Danio rerio: one gene and its partner. Each later gene encodes a partner of the first gene's protein in a complex. Links are inferred from orthologs where the notes say so. Each region holds a gene or a part of one and is shown on either strand. Other genes may lie near its edges. The genes, in order: fzd4 and ndp.

Region 1 (4,496 bases):
TTGTCAAATAGTTATTTAAACTCATGAAGATAGCAGATGTCTATTGTTTATTTTAATTATTCAGCCATGTTTACTGTTGAAACATGTTTACTGCTTTAAAATATCTGAAATGTTTTTTTTTTAAATAAAATATATTGTGTTCAATGGGAAACAACTTGTTGTTTTTTACACAGACATTTAAATATAGACCATCACAATACCGTCATACTGTGAAAAACTGATATTTTTGTGCAAGGTTTTTATATCAGAATCTTATACCGGCCCATGCCTAATATATTTTTTCTGCTAAAAAATTTCTGCTATACCATTCCTAAGGTATGTGTACGATTTTTTATTTACGTTCTTTAAGTTTTTTTTTTGCTAAATATATCCAAAGATGCCGTTTTTAATAGTAAAAAAATGTTTTTAAAACTAACGAAGACAGGAGAAGGCAATGATTTATTTGAATTTTGAAAAAAAAAAAAATAAATAATATATATATATATATATATATATATACATATATATATATATATATATATATATATATATATATATATATATATATATATTTTTTTTTTTTTTTTTTTTTTTTTTTCCACTGCTCCAAAATATTATAAATGTTTCTCAAAATAAAATATATTGTGTTCAAAGAAAAAAGTTTTTGTTTTTACCCAGACATTTAAAAAGAATATATTTTAGATCAGTAACCACAATACTGCGAAACAGTAATATTTTTATCTAAGGTTATAGATAAAATTATTAGGCCCATGCCTAATAATAATAATAATATAATAATATATATATATATATATATATATATATATATATATATATATATATATATATATATATATATATATATATATATATATATATATATATATTCATTCTCTTTTCAGCTTCATCCCCACACAGCGGAATGAACTGCCAACTTATCCAGCACATGTTTTTTATGCAGCAACCCATTTGAACCTTAGAACATTTGAAATATATATATATATATATATATATATATATATATATATATATATATATATATATATATATATATATATATATATATATATATATAAAATGACATGCATATATTATTTTAATCAGTGTCATTATGGGTTTGTTTACTACTACTACTACTACTACATTTAGAGATTAATTTTAGTATTAATAAGTACAAACCATGTAACATGGCAGACAGACAATAGAGACTATAGTTCTATTGACTGTAATCAGTTATTACTGGGTTAATAAGCAATAATTTGTAAACATTCAAGAAACAATGAAGAATGTAAATCAAAAATTAAACCAATATGGAGTTGTTTTTAACTATCTATATACATTTTACCAACAAGGTGTGCAGGCTAGTCAACCTAAACTTACAACTCTCTCACTTTATCTGTTTTATTGTGCGGTGTTATTGTGGCCACGCTAAGCCCCGCCCCTGTCTTTGATGCGCGGCTGTGATTGGCTGACGCTGGTCCTGGGGCAGCTGTCCCGTCTCCGTCTAGACCTCAACCGGGCAGAACCCGCGCGACTGCGCCACGGACACACGGACGAGCTTCAAAACGACTGATACCCGTAGTAGACAGCGCTGTACGGTTTACTCCGGAACGGGACTAACGGGACACGGTGCCGTTTCGCACTTTAAACGGATTGGCTCGCTCTGGCACGGGATTGTGAGAAAGTTTTTTTGTCTATAGGCGCGTTTGAACTCCGGTAGGCTGGAATTTTAACGCTCCCGTGATTTGCTCGGACTTTTTATCAATCGGATTGTGTCGCTATGGCTCGGTTTGAGTTCGGGTTTGCGCTACTGGTGCTCGTGTTCGGGCTCGCGCACCCGTTCGGGGACGAGGAGGAGATGACCTGCGACCCGATCCGCATCTCCATGTGTCAGGATTTAGGCTACAATGTGACCAAGATGCCGAATCTGGTGGGAAACGTGCTACAATCCGACGCCGAGCTGCAACTGACCACATTTACACCCCTCATACAGTACGGCTGCTCGAGCCAGCTGAAGGTGAGAGATTACAACACACACACACACACACACTGTAACCAGACCCTACACACACACATCACACAGAAGTACTGCACTCAGCTTTCAAATCTTGGCTTCATAATGAAGCAACACTTCTAAAAGTATTATAAATCATCATAATTATGTAAAAAAGTAACAAATAAGATAAAATACTAGTAGTATTATTATTATTCGTAATCATTTTTGTTGTTATTATCAGTATTAATTGTATAATGGTCATAGAAAGAGTGTAGAAAAATGATTTATAATAGTAATAATTGTTTATACTATATTTACCCTTAAATAAAATGACAAAGTTGCAAAAATGTGTTTAATTTTATTTTATGTCTTATTGTTATGATGAACATTGTAGATTTATTTTTATGAAGTATTTGTGATGTGCAAATCTTATTAAAGTTATAGTAATATTAAAAAAAAAATATTTAAATCACTGTGCCAATAAAGTACTTACTTATAGTACAGTAGTTTGGATAAATAGGAACCTAATCTGTGCGCACAGCAGGAGTATAGAATCCACACTCACGCACACACACTATACTCTGCCTTACAGTGTTTGTCTCATTATACTTGTGATGATCAAATTTCAGTAATTGTCCTTAATAAATGCTAAAGAAAACCTCTAAAAACATACATCTATCTTCCTACATTGGTAAAAATTCTTCATAAGCATGCAAGACATAATATTTTAACCAAAGTGTTCATAAACATGCTTAATATATTTGAACTTAATTCTAAATATATCAAAAACTTACTGCGAACACACGTTAGGTATAATTCTAAGTTGATTATTCTGAAGACAGTATGATGTCCTCATCATAAGTGCGTGTGTATGTGTGTGTATGTATGTGTGTGTGTGTGAGCACTGAAGACAGAGGCAGTTGTTGTTTTATTGATTCAGCAGAGACAAAACCTCCCACTAGGATTCCCATGTTTGTTTGCTGGAGAATCTCGTGATTAAAGCAGCTTTAGATACCACAAACATCTTAAAGGGAGAGCACTTCTGTTCTTAGATCTTTAAAATGTCATGCTGGTGTATAAATGTGTTTTTAGTGCACGACGGAATAGGAAACTACTCGTGCAAGGAAATCCTTAAAGGGATAGTTCACCCAAAAAAAGTTAAATATTTTACTATTTGGTCTCCCTCAAGTTGTTCCAAATCTCTATGAGTTTCTTTCTTCTGTTGAACACAAAAGAAGATATTTTGAAGAATGTTGAAAACCTGTAATCATTGACTTCTATAGTAGAAAAAACAAATACTATGGAAGTCAATGGTTACTGGTTTCCTACATTCTTAAAAATTTCTTTTTTTATTGTTCAACAAATGAAATAAACTCAAACAGATTTGGAGCAAGTGAAAGGAGAACTTGCAGTTGAATTTCTCTACTTGCGCAGGGAAATCCTTAAAGGGATAGTTCACCCCAAATTAAAAATAACTCGCTATTTAGTCTCGTTTGAGTTGTTGCAAACATTTATGAGTTTCTTTCTTTTGTTAAACACAAAAGATGATATTTTGAAGAATGCTGGAAAGCCTGTAACCATTGACTTTCATTGTAGGACAAAGCAAATATTATGGAAGTCAATGGTTACCGGTTTCCAACGTTCTTCAAATTATCTTCTTGATTGTTCAACAAATGAAATAAAGTAAAACAGGTTTAGAACAAGTGAAAGGAGAAGAACTTTCAGTTGAATTTCTCTACTCATGCAAAGAAACCCTAAAGGGATAGTTCACCCAAAAAATAAAAATAACTCACTATTTGGTCTCCCTGAAATTGTTCCAAACCTTTAAGAGTTTCTTCTGTTGAACACAAAAGATGGTGTTTTGAAGAATGCTGAAAAGCCTGTAACCATTGACTTTCACTGTAGGACAAAACAAATACTATGGAAGTCAATGGTTACCTGTTTCCAACATTCTTCAAAATATCTTCTTTTGTGTTCAACAAATGAAATAAAAACAAGTGAGGTGAGAAGAACTTTCAGTTTTGGGTGAACTGCTACTTTAAAAGAAACCTTTCCCACCATGCTGATTTCCCCTTTAGAGCTTCCTAAAATGTGCAATACGTGAAATTAGGGCTTCATAATATTATAAAAGTCTAAATAAATTGAATAATAAATGTTATATAACATGGTAATCATTGTATATATTTGGGCTGCGCGATATTGAAACAATGTGACATTGCAATAATTTGTTTTACTGCATTATATACTGTGATATAAACGACTTTAATAGCTGTATTTGGACATAATTCATTACTTAGTGATGATTCTGGAAGGGATTGAATCATTTGCATAAAATGTATAAAAACTAATTAATTTCAGACATTGCTGAATACAGTGGGTTAACTAAAAAAAAAAGTGCTTTATAATTTTCTCAGGAGTTTCCTCTTCCTATAGTATTCAGCTACAGAAATCGACTAATGAAATGTAAAACAGCACTGAATAGTCTTCATCATATTAATAATACTATAAATTGAACCTTTAT
Region 2 (4,605 bases), on another chromosome or scaffold:
AACAAGTTCAGTGTGTTTTCCCGCCCTCGTTTGATTGACAGAATATAATCGCCCTGATCACTGGCTATTTTTCAACAATTAGCCAGTGGCTGTTAGTTTGGAAAAATTAATTGATCTGCTAAAACAAATTATTGACCAATACATAAGTAGACCTCTAGTTTTCACATATAACTCCTCACTTTTTGGATATTTAGTGGTAGGCCATCAAAATACCTATTGCCCACCATTTTACTGCTATGAGTTCGAACAATGCTTATTTCACATTCTAAATACTATATATAGTAGGTGTTTTATCAGTAATCTTTAGAATCAGTCATACAAATAATTGATTAAGGTTTGTGCTCAATTGGGCTCCAGTCAATAAACTCTGTTACTTTGTCCTTCTTACTTTCACATTTAATTCTCTCCAAAGGGACCTCATTAACAATAACTTAAACTAGTCCAGTGATTAGCAGACTAAACCATAACAAAAAATGGGGAAGGATTATTAAATTTACATGTTAACTAAACATTAACATCTGCATTTTGTTTATGTATTGGTGCACTCTGTGGATACATTTAAGTTGTTTAAATCATGGCTCGTACAGTAGGGAAGTGATATATGGCAGATTTGTTATTTATTCAGCTTTTAAACAAATTGGTTGTGTAAATGACTCAGGGACTCACTAAAAGGTCGCCACCAACTAGTCTAGCAATGTAATTAGCTGAAACAGTCAATTACCCTCCCCCCAACCAAAAAAAAAAAAAAATCAGAAATTGATAGTAATTTTGACAAAATTTAACAAGAAATGCCACAGGAAAAATTAAAACTCAATTAGTTTTTTTAAAAACAGTATATTAAAAAACTGAATTGCCTGTGAATACGTTTACATGGACAACAATAATTCAATTTAATCCATTTAATGTGATTAAGACAATAGTCTGATTAAGAGTGTACCCTGTAAACAGCGATTTTTTATGACCTTAATCTGACTAAACTTATAGTCTAACTATAACCAGAAGTCGCATCATTGAAGTGCAATACAGACATGTAAACACCCTAATCAAACTATTATGGTCATATAGAATTTTCGCCACCTTTTGTGACTGGATAATCTATACATGCACGGCTGTTTCACACTATTCTCTGCACCTACCGAGTCGGTGAATGATCACAGGCACCTGCATCACGAAATGCTGAGTCTTTTTTTCCCCATACGGCGAGCGGTATCAAATTCCAGTAAAGCAATGGTCTTCCATCAGGTCATACTCACATCCTATATCTCGTTTGTCATGGGGGCATGAATGAAATGTTCCTGAATGAATGTGAAAGTGAGTACCTGCAGTTCAAGTCAAGAAATGAAATTAAAACACTCGAAATTACATGAAGTTCCGGAGGAAACGTGGAGAGCGTGGTGACACAATGACTTTAATCAAATTATGTACTATATAACATGGGTTATAAAATAGGATCATTAAGGAACATTTAAAAATCAACTCATGTAAACACCTTAATCATATTATTGTCTTTTTCAGATTAAGGCAAATTATTCGATTACTGATGTCCATGTAAACGTAGTTCGTTACAGAGAAAAGGTGAGGTGAGTTACATTTGAATCACTCAAATGTCCCTTGATTGCTGGAGTACTTTAATAAGGATATCAGAAGTGTCTGACAGCAGCTGAGTCTACAGTTGTTGAGTGAGGCGTGTGGTCACCTAGTATTTGCCAATAAGCAGAATTGTCTTCTCAGTCACATTGACATGCCCAAACCCCATCCTCCGGTGATGGGGTTACGTCACTGTTTTCTGCTTGTTTAGCACCCTATTGTTTGACCAGCTTTTAATAAACCAAAGGGCAGATTCCTGCAGGGATCACCCTGCACCCTCCTCCCATGCCCATCTGCAACCCAAGCAGCATGCCAGGGGCACTGCCACCACACGCCGACGCCAGTAACCCGCGTCTCCACAGCTAAACCCTACACTAAATATATCCCCAGTGATAAAGATAAGACAAACACAGCGGATTTGAACGGAGCTTGTTGCCAATAGCCGGGGCACCATGTGAGCCAATGCTAAACTAATGTTAGCTTTACATTTAGCTTCTCAGAAAAGCGTCGGTCTGGTTGGAATGCTACAGGATGAAAGGGTCTGCACACAGTAAAGCCGTGGCGGGGTTTCCAGTTAAATTAATTAGAGACCCTGTTATGTTGTCCTGTTAACCTTCCTGCTTGAATGTGATGTGCAAATTGACGGCTGTCGTCATCTTCTGAAAATACCTCAGGCTTTAATGCTTGATTTCTTTGTAAGGAGCATGCAGAGTCGTCAAAGGACTATTACGTAGTATCAATTATGAGTGAGTAATAATTGATACACAGCGCTGCTTGACATTGCCATAACATCTGGGGAGCAGTATGTTCTTGCTCACCTCGTCCTCATATTATCTATGATTTCTCATCCGAGGAGCTCAGCTAACGACCTCTGGCATAGCAATAAATTGAGTATTCAGTCCCTGCCTGTGCAAGACAAGCAGCTGAAGGCTTACCTTAGCAACCGACCTCCCACAGCCTCCTCATATATAATTTTACCTCGGCTATGAGTCACTTGGAGCAAAATCCCTATGTATGTGTTGTTCATATTAAAAAAAAGCATCAGGTAAAACTGGACTCATGCATTGTGAGGTAGATGGATGAGCCGAATTTCATCGCCAATTCTAGCAAAAAAAGATTTGAGATTTTTAAAGAAGTCTTAGTAGGATGAAGGAATTTCCTGCTGTCTACATGCATATTATTGAGTTTTCATATTTAGTATATCAATGTGCTGCTGAAATAACACAAACAGTACAATGCAAATGTATAGTGATAACCTTGCAGCCAGTAAAAAGTTACTTTGATGGCCCGGTCACCTTTATAACGCTGGTGGTCTTACCTTCAGCCTGGTTCCGTTTAACCTGCAATATCCAATCCCAGCTGGCTCCTCTAGGACAGAAATGAAATTTCTTAAGCAACAATTGCCTTTAGATCTCTCCCCCATCCACTTGCTCTCTTCTCTGTTTCCCTTTTACTCTCTCTCTCCCGCATGCCGATTGTGTGTGAGCTCTGACTCTTCCCCTCCCTCTCATCTCCCCTCCCCTTCGCTTCGACATTCACACCCCCTGTTTTATTGAGGAATCACATGGAAAAGGGAAAAGGATAGATGATGTACATCTTGGGATGGTTGTCAGATGTGGAACGTGACACAGCAGTCGTATATCACCTTAGGGACACACACACACTCGCCCCCAGCTGCCACACCAGCAAGCAAATGGGGATTCCAGCAAAATCAGAGGACTGACCAAAAGTATGGCCCTCTTTTACGAGGTCCAGGTTATAAAACTGTTAGCGGAGTTAGTTTACTTAAAAACAATTGGTCTGCTGGGTTTCTCTGCTGTCTTCTGCGAGGCTTGGGAGGTGTAACTCAATTCAGCTGGAAGCTATTTGGAAGTATGTAGTTATATGTTGGAAGAAAACGGGGAAAATGATTTTCTGTAGCATAAGAACGACTACAAAGGGGGACACTTTGATAGCTGTCTTTAAATCACGTCTTTATACTTTAGCACAGGTTTTGAAATTGTTAAATATGAAGAAATTCCAGTCAAATGCAAAGCACATAACTGCATTCTTGGGATATAAAATAAAAAACAGATGTGCAATTATGAGTTCCCAATGAGCGCATAATTACTATTTCACATCTCTGAGATGGAGAGAATCCAATGTTTTTCCCAAAGTTTGTCCTTCTGTGGCCAGAAAATGTCCTTTAAACATCACCGTTGAGAAGGCAGTTGAAATTAAATTACTGCAACTATTGGCACTAGAAGGGGAAAAAATTCAAGATATGGACTTTATCCGAAAGCGAATTAAGGGTTTGTGCCTTTAAAATATCCCATTGTCAGATTTTTATCCAGCTGTTTCCATAATACTGAGAACTTTGATTAAAAAAATACTTTTCATGAACACATGAAATAAATGCAGAATATTCAATAAACAACAGCAAATAATGACTAACATACAAGTTTTATTGGCATCAGTTGTTCAATTAAGTGCCTTTAAAGGGGTTGTTCACCCAAAAATGAAGATTCTGTTATTAATTATACAACCTTGTGTTGTACCAATCCCCTGAGACCTTTGTTCATTTTCCAAACACAAATTAAGATGAACTCTAAAGGGTCCCTCATCCTCTATAGACAGTGACAGTTCCAGAAAAGGCACCAAAATTGGAATTCTTAGACAATGTTCTTGGTTCCTTTTCTGGACTTTGACCATTTCAGCAATCAGCACCTTTGCTGTCTATAGAGGATGAGGGAGCTATCGTTTTTAATCTAAAATATATTAACTTGTGTTCCAAAGATGATCCAAAGTGTTAAGAGATTGGAACAACATGAGGGTGAGTTATTAATGACACAAGTTTGATTTTTATATATATTATACACTCATTTACTCGCTGGCCAGTTTATTGGGTACACCTGTCCAACTGCTCATTAACAAAGATTTCTAATTAGCCAATTACGTGGCAGCAACTCAATAGATTTAGGCATGTAGACATGCTCAAGTCGATCTGCGGCAGTTTAAACCAAGCATCCAAATGGAAAA

The links.
Region 2: the proteins of fzd4 (region 1) and ndp are in contact, whole or in part, in a crystal structure (PDB 5BQE), measured with the Homo sapiens proteins. The link is inferred for Danio rerio from reciprocal best matches to the Homo sapiens genes FZD4 and NDP. Residues at the interface, in NP_036325.2 of Homo sapiens: Ser51, Met52, Gln54, Asn55, Leu56, Gly57, Gln95, Phe96, Met105, Thr107, Lys109, Ile114, Asn152, His154, Met157, Cys158, Met159, Glu160, Gly161, Pro162; in NP_000257.1 of Homo sapiens: Asp33, Ser34, Pro36, Arg38, Met40, Arg41, His42, His43, Tyr44, Val45, Asp46, Lys58, Met59, Val60, Leu61, Lys102, Lys104, Leu106, Tyr122, Leu124, Ser125.

What each region holds. Positions count from the first base shown.
Region 1 is NC_133190.1:48,064,746-48,069,241, forward strand, and holds the start of fzd4 (frizzled-4 precursor), read left to right. Parts: upstream 1-1,508; 5' UTR 1,509-1,759; coding exon 1,760-1,996; intron 1,997-4,496. UniProt on the Homo sapiens protein: Receptor for Wnt proteins.
Region 2 is NC_133184.1:35,437,107-35,441,711, forward strand, and holds the start of ndp (norrin), read right to left. Parts: upstream 3,071-4,605; 5' UTR 3,011-3,070; coding exon 2,906-3,010; intron 1-2,905. UniProt on the Homo sapiens protein: Activates the canonical Wnt signaling pathway through FZD4 and LRP5 coreceptor.